Rhinolophus ferrumequinum: one gene and its partners. The main gene of each other region encodes a partner of the protein of the gene in region 3 in a complex. Links are inferred from orthologs where the notes say so. Each region holds a gene or a part of one and is shown on either strand. Other genes may lie near its edges.

Region 1 (7,201 bases), on a different chromosome or scaffold from region 3:
ACGACACTAGGCTTAGTTGGAAAGTTTATCATTACTACTATGCAAAATACTTATCCACTTGCCAAATAATGTTTAATGGCAAAATCCACTACCACCGAAGATTAAATTCCTATAGAGATCAAGAAAAGAAGCTTATAGGCATACTCACTGCACCTTCAAAAACTGTTTCCTTAAAGACCCAATTTTTGGCAATAACCACCAAATAAGTCTATAATATGTATTTTTAAAACAATTGCAAGTAATAAAAAAAAGCATTTATGGTTTTATCCGAAGTAAAGAACTTTGGGATAAGTTAATCCTGTATTTCAGTTTAATCAGGGACAGTTTCCAGGCATTTAAAGCCTTATTAAGAAATGCCAAATTGAACTGGAAACAAATATTCAAGGCTGTTACATAATAAAACATCACTGATTCTGAAGGACACTCTGTGTACTAGCAGAAGTTACAAAGGGAAAGTAGGGGCCAGAAAAGAAATTAACCAAGTATATCAAGACTATAACTGGTTGTTAAACGATTTTTGTGTTTGAAGTAATCTGACAAAAATATCTTCTATCTCTGAGGAGAATGACAGACAAAGTAATTCAATTTTTGCCCCGCTTAACATTCAAATGGAATAGTTTTCAAAACCTTTTATGGTTCTCTGGTGCCATAATTTCTCACAATCCCATATATTTGGCCTCCATATCCCCTGCCTAGAATACCATTCCTGTATTTGACCAGTTCCTAATGACTTTTCAGCACTTAGTTGATGCTTTGTCTACTAGAGTAGAGATAACTCGACTTTTGTTGAGTTTAATCACAGGAGAAATTTTTTAGAATATGGATACCCACTCATTGACCTGAGCCCTCTCTGCAATGAAGCAAGGCATCTTAATTTTTTTTTTATAGTATTAATGTTGCATATTCACTGCCCTATGGATGTTTTTTACCATTTTTTTCACCCACTCTTTCCCCAACCTGGTTAGGAGCCCCATATGGGACTCCCTTGGTTCCCTGTAACAGAGGAACACAGTATCACAGGGCATCATAACTAAATTTTTTTTTTTTTGCAAATTATCAAATACCTTTTAACTTACGAAATTCAGAAATGATTTTTATTAATAGTCTCAAAGGACATTCAAAAAATTTTCCCATGAACATGCCAGTAAATTTTTTTTAATAACAGAAGGTCTTGACTATCTTATAAACTACCAAGAAAATCACACTGCACAGTAAACAATTTGATGTTCTTGAAAATACTTTTTCACTTTACAAGAGGTAACAATATGTGCTTTTGTTTGGATTTAACTCTGCATTTTGACACACTTTTAGAAAAGCCACAAAATGCATCCTATACTAGGAACAAAAATATTTAGTATGAATTTGTGATCATAGCCTCTGAAATTTCAAAAGTCGCCACAATATTTCTCCAGTCCTGTAAACTCAAAGATATAACCCCTTGTTTCCTGCCATAGGAACTGGGATCATTTCCCTCACTCACTTGGTTAATATTAATTGGCTCTAATATTGGCAGCCTGTCTTGGTCAAGCCTTATTCTTGCGAAACCATCCCTTATAATGAAAGAAACATAAAATATATTCTCCACGGTACGAGAAAAAGAATTTGGATCAATCACAAACTCAAAATAGGACACAGGAGTATCAGGATACTTTCGAAAGTACGTTTGCAACAATCCCAGGATTCTTTCTACTTCTTTTTCTGTCGCTTCTTGATTATTACTCAAGTCCAACTTCCTCAGTTTTACAGGCATATCCCTATTATCTTCCATTCTGTGAGTTTTTTTCTGGTGCTCACGTCGGGGCTTTCGGGCAGAAGACTCTGATTTGAATGAACCAAAAATAAAGTGGAATGTTCCAGCTTGCAATATCCAGGATGTTGCTTCCTTCTGTATTGTCTCCCAGAAGGAAAGAGCTATATTATCATCACAACCACTCAACGCATTACGTCCATTATCTTCCATCAAGTTTAGTCCCACAAATATACAGAGAAAGTCACAAAATGCTACTTGATTAAAAAAGCGCATATCACAGTTCAGCTGCTTGGCTTTTTCTTTACCCAAATCAGAAGCCAGAACAAGAAACTGGGCATCGAGAGCCGCTTCTCTTGTTCGGCTCACTTCATCAAACAGGACATTGGCTTCTTCAAGAGCCTCGCTCAACGAGTCGCTCGCTGTGTTCACTATGTCTTCACGGTTCTGTTGGACGTTGTAGATGAGCTGCCGGTACTGCTTGCGGATACTCCGGCACTTCTCCTCGTCAGCCTCAAGCCCCAGGAGATTTGGATCTATGTCGGCCTCTCCACAGCTGAGGTCGTCAGAACAGCCTTCAGAGCAGCCATCAGCCCCCACCGCCACTTCCACCTTCATGGGATCTGCCTCCTCCTCCGCCTGCTTCACGGAGTACGCACTACTGGTGATGTTCACCACCCGCTCCTCTCCCTCCTCTATGCCTCCCCGCAGGGAATCTTTTTCGTCAGACATTGTCAGTCAGTAAGCTCCGGGAGCGCTCAGCTAACGGCCTTCGCAACGGTTTCGGACAGCGGCGGAAATTGAAGGGGTCAGTCAGAGCGGAGGAACCTGTTCGCCCATGCGCACTGGTGACACCGCCGGGAGGCCCCGCCCCCAGCTCGCCCCGCCTCCTGACAGCCCCACCTTGCGGAGCCCAGGTCTTGTGCAACACGTTCGCAAACAAGCCCGTGGCGCACAGGACGCACGCAATAATCGGTCCGAAGCCCACACTCATACACCCGTTTAAGCGATAGCTAATTGTTTTAGCGTTAACTGACAGTATCATCTAGCTTTCGAAGAAACACTTGGGCAATCTATGACAAAATTGTGAGGAAACTAAAGGTCCTGTGCTTTAAAACTTGCTGTCACATACTGCAGTTAAGTCGACCTTCGTTTTTTATTCTTAGTGATTAAGAAGTGGGGTCTTTTATTTTTGAGAACTAAATCTGGCTAGATTATAAACTACCAGTAGGACCAAGGATCGTGACATGCAGAACTCCCATTACAAATAGGCCACCAACTCTAAGAGTTCATTTACTAGTAGATGGTTGTTTGGAACTCAATTCTTCATTATACAAATGTAAATTGCGTCAATTACCTTCCCGGGCCCTCAAAAGCCCAATCCCCTCCAACCTACCCCATGGAGTGGAGGGCATCACTCGTGTGTGTCACTGCTAGAGCAAGCTTGAAGGTGGGGAAGGAACGTATTACTCAAGCGATCTTTGGTTCACCACCCAAGGGTGAACAAATAAAACAGGTACAATCTCTACAAAAGAGCTGTTTATTTGGAAGCTTGCCAAAGGCTAAAGACCACAGACTGAATGGATAGTAAATCTGAACCCTAAAAGGTAAGCAAAGCAATGAAGATTTTAAACACAATCTGTGATAAAGCTATGAAAGCAAATGCTGTAAATCAGGTGACTAATCTATACTGGAAACTTCACCTACTAGTTGACTGGGAATTCTTGTACAGTTGGAGAGAGAGAGCTTAGCTTAGCAGTCACACAGGCAGCAAAGTACAGGTAACACTGGAACAGAATATATTTCATTTTTAAAGAGAATATGCATTCTCAACCCGCAAGACCAGTTTTTAACCACTGCAACAGGTGTTCCTTTTAAAGGAGAGTCCGAGAGAGGGAAAGTGGGAAAGGGGGAGAGGGGAGGGGGGATGGGAGAGGGGGCGAGGGGCAGAGGGGGAGGGGAAGAGAGAGAGAGGGAGAGAGAGAGGGAGAGAGAACACACCACACTTGACCTGTCAGCTCTGGTTTCAAGGCACACGGAAGTAAATTAGCCCTACCTTCCTTCCTATGCATCTAGACTGGTTCATTTTTCTTTGACATTAATAGAAAGTTTCTTGCAAATGCATAAACAGCAAAACCTGTTATTAAGTTATTCCAAAATATTTACATTACTATTGTGCACCATTATTTCTTTAAGTAGGGGTAATTCAGGAAGAAACATGCATTTTTCAAAAACACCATGCGCTATGGTTACTTGTGCATATATACCTATTATCCTGCCATTAGACTGTTAGCTTCTCTAAAGCAAAAACTTGGTTTAAATCTTCTAAGCAAAGCTGTTTTCACATGGATGCATTTGACTATGCACATTTAAATGCATACGTTGTAAATGAATGTAGTTTTTTTTTTTAAACTTTGTCCCAACACCTCCTACAAGTTATTTGGCAGCAAAAAATTTCAGGTTAGTTTAAGAGATTCTCAAAATGAAAATAAAAGTTGACTCCTTTTCAGAAAGTCAACCTTATCCCTTCTCTGAAATACAGAAAAAGTAAGAAAAAAACAAAGTTGGGATCCAGGATCATCAAAGGACCACATTTTCCCCCTAAGTCTGCCCAATTACAAACTAATATTTAAACCTGTTTTAAATCTAAGAGGAAGAGAGTTAATCCCTAATCCCAAATCCCAAAGAGTTTGCTTTTATAGTTAACTGTATCCTTAGGAGCTTCTGATATCCACTTCAAATTCAACAAAAGCAATTTATAAAAGAACTCCAAAAGATAAGCCAACCTTCCCACCCTAAGGTGCCTATTTTCTCCTGCATCAGAAGAGGGAGAACAGGCTGATACCAATTTGCTCCATACAGAGCCTTTCATCTAAGAATTTCGAAACGCTTCAGAAAAATAATTCTCCTCACCTACTTATAAAGTATTACTAATACTATTTATAGGGATTTCTCAGGAGATAACAGCCCACACAACTTGCTTGAAGCAACAGAACATATCAAGACAAGCATATTATTAAGTTGTCGTTTCTGTGCTGAGTTCACTCTATACTAGATCCCTGTTCTTAAGAATCTTCGTAACATGTAACTTCTGTCATCCTCAGAAACCAGACTTGCATATCCCACATTCTTAAATCTGCCTTTAGAGCATAAGGTTCATATGTCATCTCAAAATAAAATCTCAAGTCTAATGATTTTCCTTCATCATTTAAAGAATGGGATTTCTACACTTGTGCATCTTTAAATCACTAAACAGTGGCTTTCTAACCTACGGTCAAATTACTAGTAATAATTATATAAATGCAGCTTAAAAAAGGAACTACAACACACAATTTCAGTTATACTGGTAAACTGCTCTATGACTTTTAACAGAAAGCAAAAGTGCACTACTACTTCAAAGAAATCACTAACATCTACCTTCTTCATGCAGTAAGACGACTTCAGACAACCAATGGCACACAGCTTGGCCTCCAACATAATTTAGCTCCTCTCCACTACTTTGTTCTCTTTCAGGGGATGTTGCCAAAGGCTAAATAAGGCTCTCCATTTCCGTTCTTCCTTTCCTCAGTTTTTCTTCCAGTATTATTTATCAGTCCTTTGCCAGGAGTTCAGATTCATTCATTCCAAGCATTCTTAAGCTCTTTCCCACAACTCCCAGTGCTCAAGCCAAATGTGATGGGATGGATGTCACAGATCACAGGTCTCTCTCTTAAGCCAAATAAAAAAAGGACTCACATAGAGTCCACTATCTTTTCTAGTGGGATTTTTATTGCAGGATTAATCTACAACAAGAAGATGTTTAATCTCTTAAAAGACTTCTGAGCCAAACCAGGAACAAGTCAGGTAGGATCCCCACACTCTAACAGACTTATTGCTGTTAAGCTACCTCCTCAACTTCTTTATGCCTTCTTTCATATCAGTTTTTCTCTCCTCATCCTTCCAAGGTATCTATTTAATATTTAGTCGTGAAGAGATGTTGTAAAAGTCCTAGTTTGATTTATCAAAGTAGCAGGACGTTAGGTATATTTTCTTTTTCATCTTAATTTCCTTTAACGTTATATTTGTGCGTGTACATTTTTGCTTTGTTTGGTTTTGGTTTTTTAGTATTAAAGGTAAACTTTGCTGTGATTAAGGCAGGTATCTGTGTTTTTCAAATGAGTGTCTGAAAAGACCATGGCCAATGGAGGCAAACCTGGTTCCAATCTTGACTTGCTAGCTATTAGAGTTATCTTAGGCAAGTTGCTTAACCTCTTAGCCTCCAGCTTCTTCCTTTGTAAGATGGGAATACTACTACTTATATCATAAAGTTACTGTAAATATTGAATGAGAATTATGTGATAGATTTGACAATATTTTCAGCTGTTGAGTAGGTACTTAATAAATCTTAAATTATCCCAAAGATAGCAAATGGTTCATAAACATTAGACACCAAACAGAAACACCTATGTACAAACCAGTAGCTTCACTCTTGGATGTTTCAGGAACAGAAAAATATTTTAAAGGTTAAATCCATAAGGAGTAATACAAGAATGTATCTCACTTAACAAATCACAGTGAAAAGAAATTTGCCGTGTAAGAAAATTTTAAAACCTAAAGCTTCAACTAATGAAAGTGTGTATAGTTACTTTGAAGAATAAAACTCTCAACTAGATATTCTGAAGCAAGCCCACCAAAAAATCTGCGACTATATGCAAAACTACATGTGCACATTTTTCTCAGGAATGGGTCCTTGGAGTTCAGCAGATTCTTTAAAAACCCAGTGTCCAAAAGAGGCTCTGAATAACTATTCTATTCAAATAAGATTGCTTTATTGTTAGTGAAATAAAAGATAAAATGGCAATCAAGTCCCACAAAACAATTTGGAGCCAGTCACTGAAATATTTCAGAGTATATAAAACCTCCACCCTTGCCCGTGGTCAAGTCATAGACTTAACTGTCACTTCAGAAAACCCAGTGATGAGGACTTGCCAAGCCTCAAGAACTATTGTAAACAAGGGTGTGAGATGAGAACAGAACGCTTCAGGTTATAAGAGCAATTATCAACTCTCTTGGGACACCTCAGAAATCAGCAATGACCAAGAGCATCATTTTGACAGACCAGGGGTCGGAAAGCACTGGGATGTGGTTTTAAAGGGGCAGCTGGGAAGGAACTCAGCTCTGGAGGCCTGGATTCCCCAATCAAAAGCAGGGCTTTATTAGTTTCCACTTATTTTCCTCATTTGTAAAAGGCGGCTATTGTATATCTTCTCTGCCATATAGAGTGGTCGTGCCCCTTTGTAGAAAAATCATATACAAACATTCGTTGACAAATGTATTCTAAAGCATATACATCGCCCTAGACTTGTGTTAGAGGTAACAAAGTGAGGACCTAGCGCCATTTCAAGAACACAGGTGCTGAATAAATAGTAGCTAAATAGACATAATGTGACTTCTCACCTGATCTGGACACATCTG
Region 2 (7,320 bases), on a different chromosome or scaffold from region 3:
AGAACTTACAACTAAACAATACTTGGGAATGCAAATGGGAAACTAATTGCATACACTAACATTTACAGAAAGATATTACAAGCAGCTTATAGCAATCAATGTGAGTCACCACATTAGCAGAATAAAGAAAAAAAGGAATATGATCATCTCACAGTTGATAAAATTCAACATTTATTAACAGTAAAAACTCTTGAACTAGAAACTTACTTCCTTTATCTACTAAATGGCATCTACAAAAACCTACAGCAAACGTAATATTTAAGGATGAAATGTTGAAAGCAATCACTTTAAAATCCAAATTAATCCAATACAACCAAATCAATGCAATTCCAGTCAAATTCCCAACAGGCTTCATGTGTATGTGTGTGAGCTGACAAGATGAGTCTAAATTTTACATGGAAAATGTAAAGGCAAAATGGCAAAGACATTTCTTGGAGAAGACAAAGGCAGGAGAAATTGTTTTTCCAGGAACCACAACTTATTTTAAAGATAGAGTAATGAGTAAAATGTGATAATGGCATAGAAATGGACAAATAAGACCAATGGGACAGAATACAGAACTCTGAAACAGAAACACATACATGTATGGATACTTGACGTGTTGAAGAGATAGAACTCCTAACGAAAGCAGACTTTTCAAAAAACTTGGCAGAACAACTGATTATCCATATGTGGGAGAAAAATAAAAAAAATAGACCCTTACCTCATGAAATTCTATTCTTAAGGAGTAAGGTCATAAGAAAGGAAAGGCTATGAAACTTTTGGACAACAACGTATGATAATAACTGTATGACTCAAAGACAGGGAAGAGTTTCTTAAAAAAAAATAAGAAAAGTACAAACCATAAAGGAATATACTGATATCTTCAACCTTGTTAAAATTAAAGACCGGAGTTCACCAAAACACCAGACAGTGGAAAATAGAAAGAGAAGACACGCTACAAACTGGAAGGTATCTGAAACACATTTAAGCCACAAAAGACTCACATTCAGAACATATATAAAGAGCTCCTACAAAAAGCAAAGGGAAGACAACTGTGAGAGAAATGAGCAACAGAAATTTGACAAAGAAAATGCACAACTAATAAAGATGTGAAAAGATGCTCAAACTACCTGTCAACAGGCAAATGAGTATTAAAACCACCGACTAATGTCTCCACTACCACCAGAGAGGCCAAAATCCTTAAAATGGCCGAGGCTGAGACTCACCCACTGCCCATAGAGTGTAAACCCTTATAAGCACTTCAGACAAGTTGATTTTACCTGCTCATCTGTATATCCTCCGAAATCCACTATCAGGTACATACCTTACAGAAACTTTCCCACATTGGCCCCAGGAAATATGCTTATAAAAGCACCATGTGGGAGCAAAAAAACTGGCAAAAAGTATAAGTGAAGACCAACTGAACGGCCTCCATAAAGTGTGTATAATCTGACCTTGGAATTCAAAGCACTGAAGATGAAGTAGAGCTACTCACAGCGACACAGATGCATCTAATGTATACATGGTGTTAAATGCAAAAATCGAGTCACACAAAATATGTTAGGATCCCATTTATATAAAACTCAAAACCTAGCAAACCATGCACTGCATTCATCAGAGATACATCAACAGTAAAAACAACAAAGAAAACAACAGAACGAAGAACACAATACTCAGCGCAGTGGTTCTCTTTGGTGAGGGAAGAAAGGATTCAACGGGGGCTGTGAGGACATGAAAATGTTCTAACATGGTGGGTGGATGTTTGTTTTATCTTCATTCTTCAAACTTACATTGTTATAGATATGTCACATATCTTAAAAAGGGAAGAAAATTATGTAAATATGTTAAGCCAAAATGTTACTAAAGAAGAACTAAGTAAAGAACGGTATACAATGCTGTACTTTGGGGAAAGGGGAGGGCAATGGGGGTGAAAGACAGGCTTGTTCTGTCCTAGGATTCAGTGTTCTCCCGGAAGAGGGACTGAGTGGGGAGGCTGACCACGGACACGCACTGCCCTCCCAATGGCCTTCAAACAGAAATGCTTGTGGAATAAGCAGATGTCAGTCATAACCATCCACGTGTGCCATGTGCTACAGCACAGTCTCCTTTACTCGTCACCAGAACCTTATGAGAAAGCCATTCCTTACTCCATTTTACACACGAGGAAGCCGGCTGAGGGCACAAGGGGACACACACAGTGATGGAGACAGAGGGTGACGACACAAAAGCGCAGTTCAGGATGTGTGGCACCCCCGCCAGCGAGAAATAGGAGTAAATAATAACATGAGGATCCCGGCTCCTAGTCTGCAATTGTCAAATCTAAAAAGGTCTGAACATCAAATCTTTTAAGTTTGAAAACTGGATCAGATCTAAGGTGGGGCTATCTATGGTCGTTCTTTATCCCTTTTAGTGTAAACCCGCGTGTCTTCAGCGGCGGTACTACGGTTGTGACTGACTACAAGACGCTGCCCCAGACGCCGCTGACGGTGGGGCCTAACCTGTGGAGAACGCAGGCTCCCCACCCTCCTCCGGAAACCCCGAAACGCGGGGTTCTGAACGCTGACAGCCGCGGGGCTTTAACGTCGGGGCTGTGGACTCGGACACAGCGAGACGCTCGGCGCACAGAACGCGGGCGCGGGGCGCGGCGCCAGTGGCTGACGAGCAGTCGGCGCGGGCCGGCTGCACGCACTCAGTTCAGACACATTTCGTACTTTTCTTCACCTAACATCATGCTAAGAACTATCTTCTCATCTAATATCACGGTTTAAAAGTGTCCCTGTGAGAGGGACGCGTTTCCGGTCTATTGGCCCTCGCGGCCCCCTCTGGGCCTCAGTTTCTCCAGCCGGAAACGAGAAGCCCCGGGGCCCCGGGCCCTCAGCGCCGCACTGGGCGCAATGCGCAGGCCGCCCCGGACCTCAGCCCCACCTTCCGGCCTCCCTCGCCGCTCCGGACGGCGTTCTCGAGTCGCCGTTACCCTCGGAGGCGCCCAGGAGCTGCTCACAGGGCCCGCGCCGTTGGCAAAAAGCGGACTCGGCTCCTCCCTCAGGGCGGAGCACGCGACGCTCCCATTGGTGGTCGTGCAGGTTCGTCCCGCCCGCTCGATGACGCACTTCCCGTTACCCCTCCCGCGCCGTTGCCGTGGTGCCGCAGGATCGATCTGTCAAGTCCAGTTTTAGGCGCTTCCCTGGCCTCTCTGGGGACTTTATGGAAAAGGAGGAGGAGGAGTGCAGCGTGCGCCACCCTCATGGCCGCGATTTCCCCACCTGTAGAACTGGCAGTGTGGCCTCGTGGTCAAGGATGGGGGGCTCTGTTGTCATATATCCTGACCAGAATCCTGGCCCTGCAACTTACCAGATGCCTCATCTTGGACAAATCACAGAGAGGCGCTGAGCCTCAGTTGCTCCTGTCAAACGGGGATAATAGTCCCCACGTAGCAGCAGCGTGCTTGTGAGGTTTACAGGACAACACGCATGAAGGGCTGATATTGAATGTTAGCGACTGTCCTGCTCTGGGAGTGTTGTGAGGAGTAAATGAAGTTATCGGTGGAAGTGGATGGGCACGTTACCATCGTTTGTATTCCAGTCCCTGGTCTGCCAACCAGGACCCAGTGCAGCAGGGAATAGGGGTGGCTAATTACAGAACAGCGGGGAGTGCAAGTATCTCTGTGACCACAGCCTCAACCCACCTCCACCCCACCCGCAGGCCAGTTAACTCTGTTGTGACCTCGGACAATTCAACCGCCCTGGACCTCAGTTTGATCATCGGCTGAGCAGGGAAAGCTTGGGCTCCAGAGCCCAAGCTGGATTTGAATCCAGGTTCTTACACTCAGAATCTTTGAGACCCAGGACAAAGTAGTCCCTCACAGTTCGTTCTTCTGTAAAGCAGGGATAATAATACCATTGTTTTGATGGGCTTGTTATGAAGATTAAATACATTAATACATGCAAACACTTAGAAGAGTGTCTGGCACATAGTAAGCCCTCAGTAAGTGTGAGCTTCCAGTATGAACAAAGTACTTTACAAATTGCCTTAGGGTCAGTCGAATAAGAGAAGAACAGCCCTAAGAAGGACTGGGCTGCCATGTTTTGTTTGCCCTGCACAGTTGTGTACACTTTTCAATTCATTATCAACATTTAAAGTTGAGGGATTTCACAGAAAACCCTGGGGTGTCTGTCCGCTCTTGTAAAATTGGGCAATGGGACAACAGGCCACACTTGTTCAGAGCTTGGTAGAAACTGTCCCTTTGTAATGCACCGTGTTTTCCTGGAGTATAGAGGGGGAAAAAAAACCCCGAGGACCATGAACACAAAATGCTGGGAACACTGGCATTTCAGGATGAAAGGGCCAAGGAGGAGGTAGAAAGAGAAGACAGGATTCAAGACTGTGGTGTCAGAGGCAAACAGGTAGAGAGTTTTGAGAAACAGGGTGTGGTCAGGTTTGCCAGTGCTCTGGAGAGGTCAAGAAAGATATGCCACTGATGAAGAATTTCATGGGCAGTAAGTAAGTGCTGGGAAGTCAGCCTGGAGGGGCGCAGCAGCCTGAGATCTCGGTGAAGTGGTAGTGTTGGACAGGAGCAAGTAGTGGGTAAGGACTGGAATTGGCAATGAGGGAGTGACCCATCACAGGGCGACTGTCCAACCTCAGCATGACCACCCTCAGAAGACTGCCCACTCTCCAGGTGGTTCTGTGAGATTCTATTAGGAAACTTGGATGTGCCACGAATTGGACTGTTTGCTACAAGACTGTAACACTTCAAATGTCCTTCTGAAAGTTGGCCCTAAAAGATACAAGAGCTACACGGACATAAATTTGTTGTACATATGGAGGTTGCCTAGGCCTTGGCTAGAGAGAAAGTGTGGGGCCAAATCACAGGCTAAGGGGCTGTCTTTTACCTGAGAACCACAGAAGCTCAGAGAGGAATTGAGGAGACCAAGTTTGCATTACAAAAAAAAATATTTGCATATCTGTTCTTTTCAAACATACTTGGAACATTTACAGAAATTGACTACCACAAAGGAAGCCTCATTGAAATCCAGATTCAATAGGTCACATTCACAACCCACAATAAAGGAAAATTAAAAATCAATAACAAAAAGAGAGCCAAAAAGAAACCCATACAATTCAATAGAGTATACCTTAAATTAGTAACAGTAGGAGGGGCCAAGAAGACAGGCTAGTTTGTCTTTTTATCATGTATATCTATGACTTATGAAAAATAAAATTAAAAATTATAAGCATACATTTGAATTTCATGTCTTCGGTTGGAAGTTCATTATATTTTTATACTTTTTGTATGTAGATAGCTTTTATGACACATTTTTAAAAGAAAAAAACGTGCATTTGTAAACTGAAAAATACATGTGGATTTAAAAAATGTATATGGAAATCACAAAATATTTAGAAATGAATGACAATAAGAGCCTTACATAATAAATTCTGTGTGCTCTAACTAAAACAGTAATTAGAAGGGGGATTATAGCCTCTGGTGTACTTATTACAAAACAAGAAAACAAAATTTGTGTTCCATTTAAGAGGTAGAAAAATAAATAAACCCAAAGAAAATGGAGGGAAAGAAATAATAATAAAGCAAAAGCAGAAATGAGTAACAAATGAGAAACAAGAGAAAATCAAGTTGATTATGGAAACCACATACTCACATAAATTTTGGATTTACTGCGTTTTAAGCTTGATCCAGTGGTGGCAATGGGTGTGGATTGGTGGAGCAGAGAGGGGAAGTGACCCTTCCACTCCGCCCTCAGCCTAGAGGGATGCTGACAGGCCCCAAAGGCCAAGATAAAAGCCATTCCTGTGTATAGTGCGGGCAGAGTCAGGCACTGGCATGAGAAGGATACACAGTGCTGGCAGCAGGGTCCACTGCTCAGTCTTCCTAACAGGCAGTGTGGCTGTGCTTTTCCAGAGCCTGGGCCTACGTGCTGTGTGACAGGGGACAGCATTTGCAGGGGGAGCTGAACACCTGGCTCCTGGCGCAGCTTTGCTGGAACAGGCTTCCCCCTGCACAGCTGTGGTAGCTGTACCTGTCCGGTAGGTTGGGGTACAGTCCCTCAGTTTTTTACTGGCATAAGGGGTCTTGTCCAATGCTGGGACCACTCTCAGGTCCAGAGTGATGGCCTGGTGTGGGAACTTCAGTCTTGGGGGGAGGGGCGCATATATGGAAGGCATATATGGAAGACCTGGGAAAACAGTGCCGAGTCAGCCAAGGACACCTCGAGAGATTCCAAACACATAGCCCCCACACACAGTCAGCGACCGTGGGCTGGTAGCAGCTCAGCACCCCACACCCCACATTGTTTGTCTATTTCTGTCCCTGTCTGACCTTCTCCTTCAGTCTCTGAACATCTGTCTTTGTCTGACTAGGTTCAAGATATTCATGAAACATGCTTGTCCATGGAAAAACATTCAGCCTAAGAGAAAGCCTATAAAGAGTCTATCTGTGCCAAACCGATGCCAATTGCTGGGAAGCAAAATCTCAACGGACTGAGAAAATGCTTCACAAAATGGTGGTTTGCAGTTATTTTATACACAGAATCAAAGGAGGAGGGTTACATGAAATCCATTGGTGGTAGATTAATGGGGTGGGAGAAAGCAAAGCAGGGAAATCTCTGTGATTAAAGTAAATTGGAGAGACAGGTACTTCTTTCACATAGGTGGGTACAGGATAGTTAATAGCACTTTTCACAGCACATAGAGATGGGAATCCAGAGAAGAATAATAATGAGGGGTTCTACAGCTTCCTGCTCTGGTGGTGGGGGGAGGGAGGCATTACTGACATTCCAAAGGGTGTGTTATTTTTGATGCAAAAAGACAGTTGACAGGCTCACTTAAGGTAAAGACTGACCTTTGTCTAGGAAGCTGCAGGCCAAGGATGTGACTTCCCGCCATGGCCCACCTGAGTTAGGAATTTGTATGTTCACGCCGTCCTATACGTGGTTATTTTCAGTCTCCTGAGCTTGTCAGGTTTCACCTGTGGCCCCTTTTCCATCCTCATGCTCTTGTCGTCACCCTGCAGAGACCCTTTCGAGCCCCCAAGAGACCTCACTTCATCCCTAGCTCGGGATGTCTTACCTACCCCTGTTCCTTTTCTATCTCCCTACGTCTCCTACATGTGGGGTCCCTGACTCTCCTGTGTGCAGGGTTCCCATATGTATGTATTAAATCTGCTCGTTTCCTCTTGATAATCTGTTTCATGTTTATTTGATTATTACAGCAGTCAGAAGCCTGGGGGTAGAGGAAAGTCTTCCCCACATAAGCAAGTAATCAGATATTTAATAAAAGGTGAAATTTGGGAGTGTATCTACATCACTGGGTCCTGAAATAAGA
Region 3 (6,843 bases):
TAAGCAAGTTAAGTAACCTGCCCAAATTTATATGGCTAGTTACCCTTGTTTCCCAGGAAATAAGACCTAGCGGGACAATCAGCTCTAATGTGTCTTTAGGAGCAAAAATTAATATAAGACCCGGTCTTATTTTACTATAATACAAGACAGGGTCTTATATAATACTGGGTCTTATATTAATTTTTGCTCCAAAAGATGCATTAGACCTGATTGTCCCGTGAGGTCTTATTTTTGGCAAAACACGGTAGGTGCAGCCAGGACTAAATCCAGGTAGTCTGATTCTCAAGTAGGCTGGTTAATCACTAATGGTTTCATCAACTTTTTTGTGACCCACAGTAAGAAATATATTGTACATCATGATCCAATCTGCAGGAACACATATAAAAAGTAAAGCAACTTCTACAAAACACTTAACATGTAGCAAAAACTGCCTTTAAGATGCTGGTTTTAAGTCATGAAATTAATTTCTCATGATTCACAATTTAAAAAATGCACAATGCATAACTGCTTCAAAGATATAGTATTTATTATAACTATAGTAGCAAAAACAAGGAAAACCAAACCGACCTAAGTGGTAGTTATGAAAGTAAAAAACATTTACATTGCTTGGAACAATGCTTACATATGTAGGAAATATATAAATATAAAATAGCTGTGTTAAGGCAAAAAGGGATACAGGCAGTCACATTTTTATTTTTAATTTGCAAAGGCTTTTCTTTTTCCTTACAAACTGGGGTAGTTAAGAGGCCAGGTTAACAGCCACTTCCTTTTTATTTTCTGGGCGCCAAAGCAATTTACTGATGTGTTCTTCCTTCAATCTCTGTTCCAGATCACAGCACAAACGTTTTCCCATTAGTTTTACAAAGCTAGCCAAATTTTTATACCCACATATACAGACAGTAAAACACGCCAAATAAATCCTCTCCCGAATGGTTTTGTCAACGACACTTTGGAACCACGTACCTTGTAGTACTAACAGAACACAACTCTGCAAACACATCCTACAGCTACACACATTTAAGCCTCACAGAAAAGTGCTCCCGCCACCCCCACCTCTTCAACCGGTGCTTTTGACCCTTCTCCCCGCCGCGGTTTCGAGGGACGGGGCTGGGCCCGCCGTCTGAGGCCGGGCCCGGGCCTCCTCCTCCGCCAAAGCCTCACAGTACTGCGCGGGCCAGTCCTTGGGGTCCTGCTTGTGGACTTTGGCCACGAACTTGAGGACCTTCATCTTGCTGGTTTCCAGGTTGGTGCGCGGGCCCCACTGGAATTCGTAGTCGACCGGATCCGTGTGGGGAATCCGCCGGTACTCCAGGTAACGCTGCCGCACGAAGTCTTCGGTTATGAGTTTCTTTGGGTCCCCGAAGATTAAATGCTTCTTGGTGGGGAACACCCCCAGGCGCCGCAGGAAGTCCCAGACCTCGGTCTCCTTGATGCTGTTGCCCTTCATGAAGATGAGCCCCAGGACGATCATGAGGAGGCCGGTGGTGGGCGTGCCCTGGTCGCCCCTCAGCTCCGCGTCCTCCTCCACCGGCTCCAGGCTGTTGATGAGAATGTAGCTGTTGCTCTTGGGCTCCAGCTCCACCAGCTTGTACCCGAACACGTACTGCAGGCGCTCGGCGGCCAGCCTCAGGAGGTCGGCGAAGATGTCCCTGTAGTCGCCGATCACGTGCTTCAGCATGTCGCTGCGCTTGATCGGGATCTTCTTCTGGTCTTTGATCAGCAAGAACTGCACCAGCTCGGCCACCTTCAGCTCCAGCTGCTTCTGGGACCTGGGCCCCACGGCCGGGGACGCCTCGGCCCGGCGGGCGCGCTGAGGCGAGCTGCCCACCCCGCGGGAGGTGCTCGGGGCCTCCTCGGCGACGCCGCCTCTCGCGGCCCGGCTGTCTCCGCCGCGGCCCCAGTCCTTCTCCCTCTCGGCCTGGCCGCCAAGGCGGCCCCGGTGTCTCGGCTTCTGCAACATGTCGCCGGCGGTGACGGCTGGGCGACCGCGCGGACTCCGGCGGGCGGTAACCGGCAGCAGCGGCAGCTGAGGGAAAGCGGCGCGCGGCGAGGATGGGGGGGAGGGGCGCGCGACACGCCGGGGCGGGGCCAGAGGGAGCGCGCGCCGCGTCGAGACTGCGCGCTGCGTCGGCGGGGCCTGCGCGGCGCGTCACGGAGGCGACGTGTTGCGTGCGCGGAGTCTCTTGGCCGCCGCGGCTTTCTGCGCAGCCCCGCGGGGTCACCGCAGTGCTTTTATTAGTCGGTGCTTAAAAGTGTCGTCCGTTCCCAGCCGCGCAGACAGGGAACCGGAGCCCAGACTCCTCAAGAGGAGTGCGGCTACGTTCGCGCCCGCACAGGCTCAGGGAAGTGTTTTCAAGTCGGGAATAGTTTTAGATGGAGCGAAGTCAAGGAATGGGGGAGAAACATAAGGTGAAGAGAAAGCGAAGAGCGTGCAAGTGAAGAAAAAGCATTTCCTTTTACACACAGCTGGACGTAAAAAGAAAAGACCCAGAAGACGCCTAGATTGTTTTGCCTTCGCCACTCCCCTCGCACAAGTTTAAACCCTCCTCACCATTTACCACCATTACTTTCACGAATGCCCCTGAGAGTCTATTAAAAACGAATGTTTGGTAAAGCAGGCTTGCCTCGCAAGCAGGACTCCCCCCATCTTTTCACGATTTCAGTGTTTATATTTTTGCATTATACTCCATCAGCTAGACAACTATGACCAAGCCACCACATACAGTGGTTTTGCTTGGTCAAATGAGTTTATCTTCTGGAACGCACGTGATCACGTGAACTGCCTTGGGCTCACAACCACAGTTTTAGCAGAAATGGAAAAAAAGGATGCTACAAACAGAGAAACGTGTTCTCTCAAGAGATTACCATTTAATTTTGGGCATCACTGATCAAGAATTGCAATAATGTGAATCTCTTAAATTTCTCAATTCTTAAAATATCTGCCTTAGGGCTCGATGAGAAAGAGAAGAGAACCCAGGGGTATCATCCCTCATAATCTGTGATGTGTGCTTTGTGTATATATATATTTTTTTAATTGTGCAACTATAATAGCCAACATGAGTCATTTCATTAACTCAAACTATCTGTGTCTGCTGCCATTACTTCTACAGATCGTAGTAATTGTGTTCCTTTTCTATTTACTGACTTGCAAAGAATTAACAATTTCCCTCTGTCTTTTTAAACTACCCAGAAAGTGGGTAACCTCTTCAAAGAACCAAATCAAATTGAGTTTCTCTTTAATGCAAATATATTCAAAGGAAAGCAATTCAAAACACATTATTTGAATAATAGCATCAAAACACAATCTTATTAAAAATTTCATTAAGTGTTAGCATAAAATTTTTGTTAGTAATTCAATATGAAAATGCAATCTGATAATGACACTGGAGCTGCACTAAATGTAAAATGATATTCCATGTTATGATGCAAGTATGCTCGCTAAAATCTGGTAAACTATGAGTAATAACTTTCTGTTCCATACAGGATCTAACAATATATTCTCAAGCATCAATCTTAATGACAGAAGACTACTATGAAAAACAAATATATCATCGAGGCATTCATTTTTTTTTTACAATGAGAAAATCCATCTGCTTCAGTTTTCTTGCAAATTAAAATTTGGACTGAGGATCAAAGAAAAACTACTGCAGCGGAGAATTCTGCAAAAGGTTCCTCCAATTGTGCCCTGAGTAAAAAATCAGCAACCATGAGATAACAGAGAAATGGAAAATAAGATGAAAGCCATCGTCAACAACTGGGCTGGTTTTTCAGTGTTTTTTTTTTTTTTTTTTTTTCTCGCAAAAGTGTTCACTTAAATTACCAAGTAGCCCCGCTAGTCAAGCTACCCCAGTGACTGTGAAAATCAGCTGTGTCCATCAGTGGAATCTTTAGTCAGATAGCAGATTGTCAAACTCAAAATGGGTGAGAAAAGATACCAGTTTAAAGTCTTAAAACACCTCTCTACACTGTGTCCAGAAGAATACAAGTGAGAAAATATCACATGATAATATTAGAATGAAGCTTATATACTGCATGGAGAAGGAGCCCAGACCCCCACTCCACCTTAGATTGACATAGTGTTTGAGGGAAAATTGTTGTCATGGTGATGGCAATAACAACACTAACACTAATAATAATAAATATAAACAACAGCAGCTGATGATTATTACAAAGGTAACTGTAGGTCAGACCCTATTCTAAGTGATCTGCACCTAGTACTTCATTTAATCCCCACAACAACCCCATGAGGCCCCATTTATTATGTTTTTCTTCTTACAAATGAAGAAACTGAAGCACAGAGAAGAATATTAACTCTTTTGAGGTCCTACAGCAAGAAAGTGCTAGATTTGAACCTGAACTAAGGCGTTCTGCCTCCAGAGACTGCCCTTAACCACACAATGCAAAGGGAACATGATGTGGTGTCCTTGAAAAAGTAAAAAGTCTGGGAGTCGGCCTGCCCTAAGTTAGATACCTGTATGACCCTGGGAAAGCTACTGACACTCCTTTCAGTTTCCAAATCAACAAAATAAGATTGATAATGATTTGCTTCTTTCCAGGGCGTTTATATTAAGGAAAATATTTGAGGACTACATAACGCTGTGTGAAGAAAGATGTTTACTGCAGCGAACCACGTGTGCACGAAAATCAGACGAAAGTCTGAAAAAATATATCACAGTGCTATTAAAAGTATTTTCTTTTAAAAATGAAATGCAATGTTTATTTTCTTGCTTTGGGAGATCAGTGAAAATATACTTTCAATCAATTTTAACATCTCAGGGACACCAGGCCATAACAGTTTTACACATTCAAATTTCCAGTAAATTCAGTGTAATTTGCATGGGACATTTGTGACTTTTTGTTTAGCCAGTGAAGTACTAAAGACAAGTGGTTAAAAAAAGAAAAACATTTTCAAACACTTTATGTTAATGACTTTAGTACTTTTATTACTAGACCCAAAAGAAAACAAAAATTATTTGAGGCAAAAAATTAGCTAGCTAAGATTTAGTTGCATTGAAAAAAGAAATGCCTACTACCAACTGCTGTTTAGACGTCACTAATTAATGGCTTTATTTCGTCTCCTTGGTAGCAAATGCCTGCCAAGAAGCTCTAATCATCCTTATTATCTACTGCATTCTCTTGGTTCCTTGGTATTTCTTGCAGAATCAGAGGAAGGTTTTACATTTCCTGGCAGTGACCTAGTACAAAAAAGTAAGTAAGGACGTTGGGGGAATAAAAGCAATGATCAAAGTAGGCAGCCAGCATGTGCGAGTGGCTCTGCTGCCTCTTCTAGTGGAAGAAAAGGGGGGCCGTGTGCAGCATGTGAGCAAAGGGGTTGGGTGGGGGTAGGGGCTATTTCGGCGGGTAGACAGTAGGAAAAGCAATGCAGCAACTCTCTTTTCAAGAAATATAAATCTTCCGATGACCCACGGCCTTTTACTTACGAAAATCATGAAGGTCTATTAAGTTATAAAATTACAAACACATGAGGTCTCAATAGTGGCCAATAATTTCTTTTCGTTGGCTGTTTTTGCCCCTGTTCTGCATCTTTACCCTTTGGTAATTGCTTCTTCCCATTTCTAGGAGACCCTGGAAAAAGCTCTGCCTTCATTTTCTGGGTGCATGTGATTCAGGCGGGCCACAGTGACTGGATTGGGAGTCCAGTCAGACTCCTTTTAGGGGTTCATATGAGCTCTCTCTGAGCTAACAAGCTGAAGGGGGATGTAAGCCTAGCTATCTCTGCCTTGCTTGGGAATAATCTGCAACATGGTGAAGGCAACTCAAAGGAGATCTAAGCGATGGAGAAACAGTCCGAATGGTGCTAACTGAAGTCCTGGATCCCAAGTGCAAGGCTGAACTCCTGGGATGACTAATTACTGGAGTAAGTAAAATCTGCTTTTGCTTTATCTGCTTCAAGTTGGTTCCCCTCACTTGAAACTGAACCAATTCTGGCTAAGTGGCATCCAAACCCATTACACAGAGGAAAAGAGGGTACTAAGGAACAAGAGTTTGTTTCAAAGTCACGGCAATAGACACGGTTAATATTACCTGCAAAGATATCTGAATGTAATGAGAGGTGATCTGAATAAAATTTGACAGTTTAGTTAGGGTTCTTGGCAGTGTTCTGTGGTTGGGGAACATGCTTATGATTTTAGTTGCCAGCAATAAGTGCAAGTAAGAAACCATGAAAGATTGTTTCTCCTTATAGAATGTACACATGAGCTAACCTGGTGATTTACCATGTAGAAAGGCGTTTCAGAGAACGTAGAACACACGCTGAAGCACCTGCTATGCCAGAGTAGCTCTTTTCTCCATGCTTAACCCAAAGCATTTCTCCAGTGGCCACACCATGCACGATGACAGACACCTCATTCTTTCCTCCTGGACTCCACTTTGGCCCTGAGCAGAGGTATAGATAACCACAGGGCAAGCGCACCGAAAAGGAGAATGGACGGGGCTAATTTAACCCTGCGAGGGACTAGGCAGATAGAACTGTTCACAGTAGCGAAAAGGTAGAAATGACCCCAATGTCTGCTTACTGATGAATGGAGAAAATGTATGCCAATACCACAGAGTATTTTTCAGCTTTAAAAAAGAATGAAGGACAAACACAGGCCATCATGTGGATGCACTTCAAAAACATGCTAAATGAATACAGCCACTCACCAAACAGCGTATATTGTATAATGCAACTTCCACGAAATGTCTAGAATAGGCAAATCCACAGAGGCGAAAAGTAGATTGATTAATGGTTGCCTAGAACTGGGGGAGGCGGGGAATGGGGGAATCACTACTCTTGGGGTGACTGAACATGTCATAAAATTAGGTGAAGATGATGGTTGCATA

What was found. Proteins that work in one complex are often made in the same cells at the same time.
Region 1: NSMCE3 (region 3) and EID3 share a complex: the UniProt entries of both Homo sapiens proteins name them as parts of the SMC5-SMC6 complex. The link is inferred for Rhinolophus ferrumequinum from reciprocal best matches to the Homo sapiens genes NSMCE3 and EID3.
Region 2: the proteins of NSMCE3 (region 3) and NSMCE1 are in contact, whole or in part, in a crystal structure (PDB 7DG2), measured with the Xenopus laevis proteins. The link is inferred for Rhinolophus ferrumequinum from reciprocal best matches to the Homo sapiens genes NSMCE3 and NSMCE1. Residues at the interface, in XP_018121157.1 of Xenopus laevis: Gly57, Glu58, Val60, Gln61, Tyr62, Leu64, Ile65, Lys66, Gln68, Lys69, Val82, Thr100, Gln102, Gln103, Val104, Phe105, Gly106, Phe107, Asn123, Leu125, Gln126, Arg127, Val128, Gly130, Asp131, Gly132, Met133, Arg134, Asp136, Glu137; in NP_001083134.1 of Xenopus laevis: Ile5, Glu7, Gln10, Arg11, Leu13, Gln14, Ala15, Met17, Ser18, His19, Leu30, His33, Leu37, His38, Leu54, His57, Leu58, Pro60, Leu61, Phe62, Met63, Val84, Asn86, Ile88, Thr89, Met91, Ala92, Ser93, Asp94, Gln149.

Annotation. Positions count from the first base shown.
Region 1 is NC_046293.1:15,688,247-15,695,447, forward strand, and holds EID3 (EP300-interacting inhibitor of differentiation 3), read right to left. Parts: upstream 2,570-7,201; 5' UTR 2,480-2,569; coding exon 1,352-2,479; 3' UTR 521-1,351; downstream 1-520. UniProt on the Homo sapiens protein: Tissue-specific component of the SMC5-SMC6 complex, a complex involved in repair of DNA double-strand breaks by homologous recombination.
Region 2 is NW_022680357.1:19,109,129-19,116,448, forward strand, and holds the start of NSMCE1 (non-structural maintenance of chromosomes element 1 homolog), read right to left. Parts: upstream 3,021-7,320; 5' UTR 2,908-3,020; intron 1-2,907. UniProt on the Homo sapiens protein: RING-type zinc finger-containing E3 ubiquitin ligase that assembles with melanoma antigen protein (MAGE) to catalyze the direct transfer of ubiquitin from E2 ubiquitin-conjugating enzyme to a specific substrate.
Region 3 is NC_046311.1:13,570,789-13,577,631, reverse strand, and holds NSMCE3 (non-structural maintenance of chromosomes element 3 homolog), read right to left. Parts: upstream 2,041-6,843; 5' UTR 1,961-2,040; coding exon 1,058-1,960; 3' UTR 506-1,057; downstream 1-505. UniProt on the Homo sapiens protein: Component of the SMC5-SMC6 complex, a complex involved in repair of DNA double-strand breaks by homologous recombination. The complex may promote sister chromatid homologous recombination by recruiting the SMC1-SMC3 cohesin complex to double-strand breaks.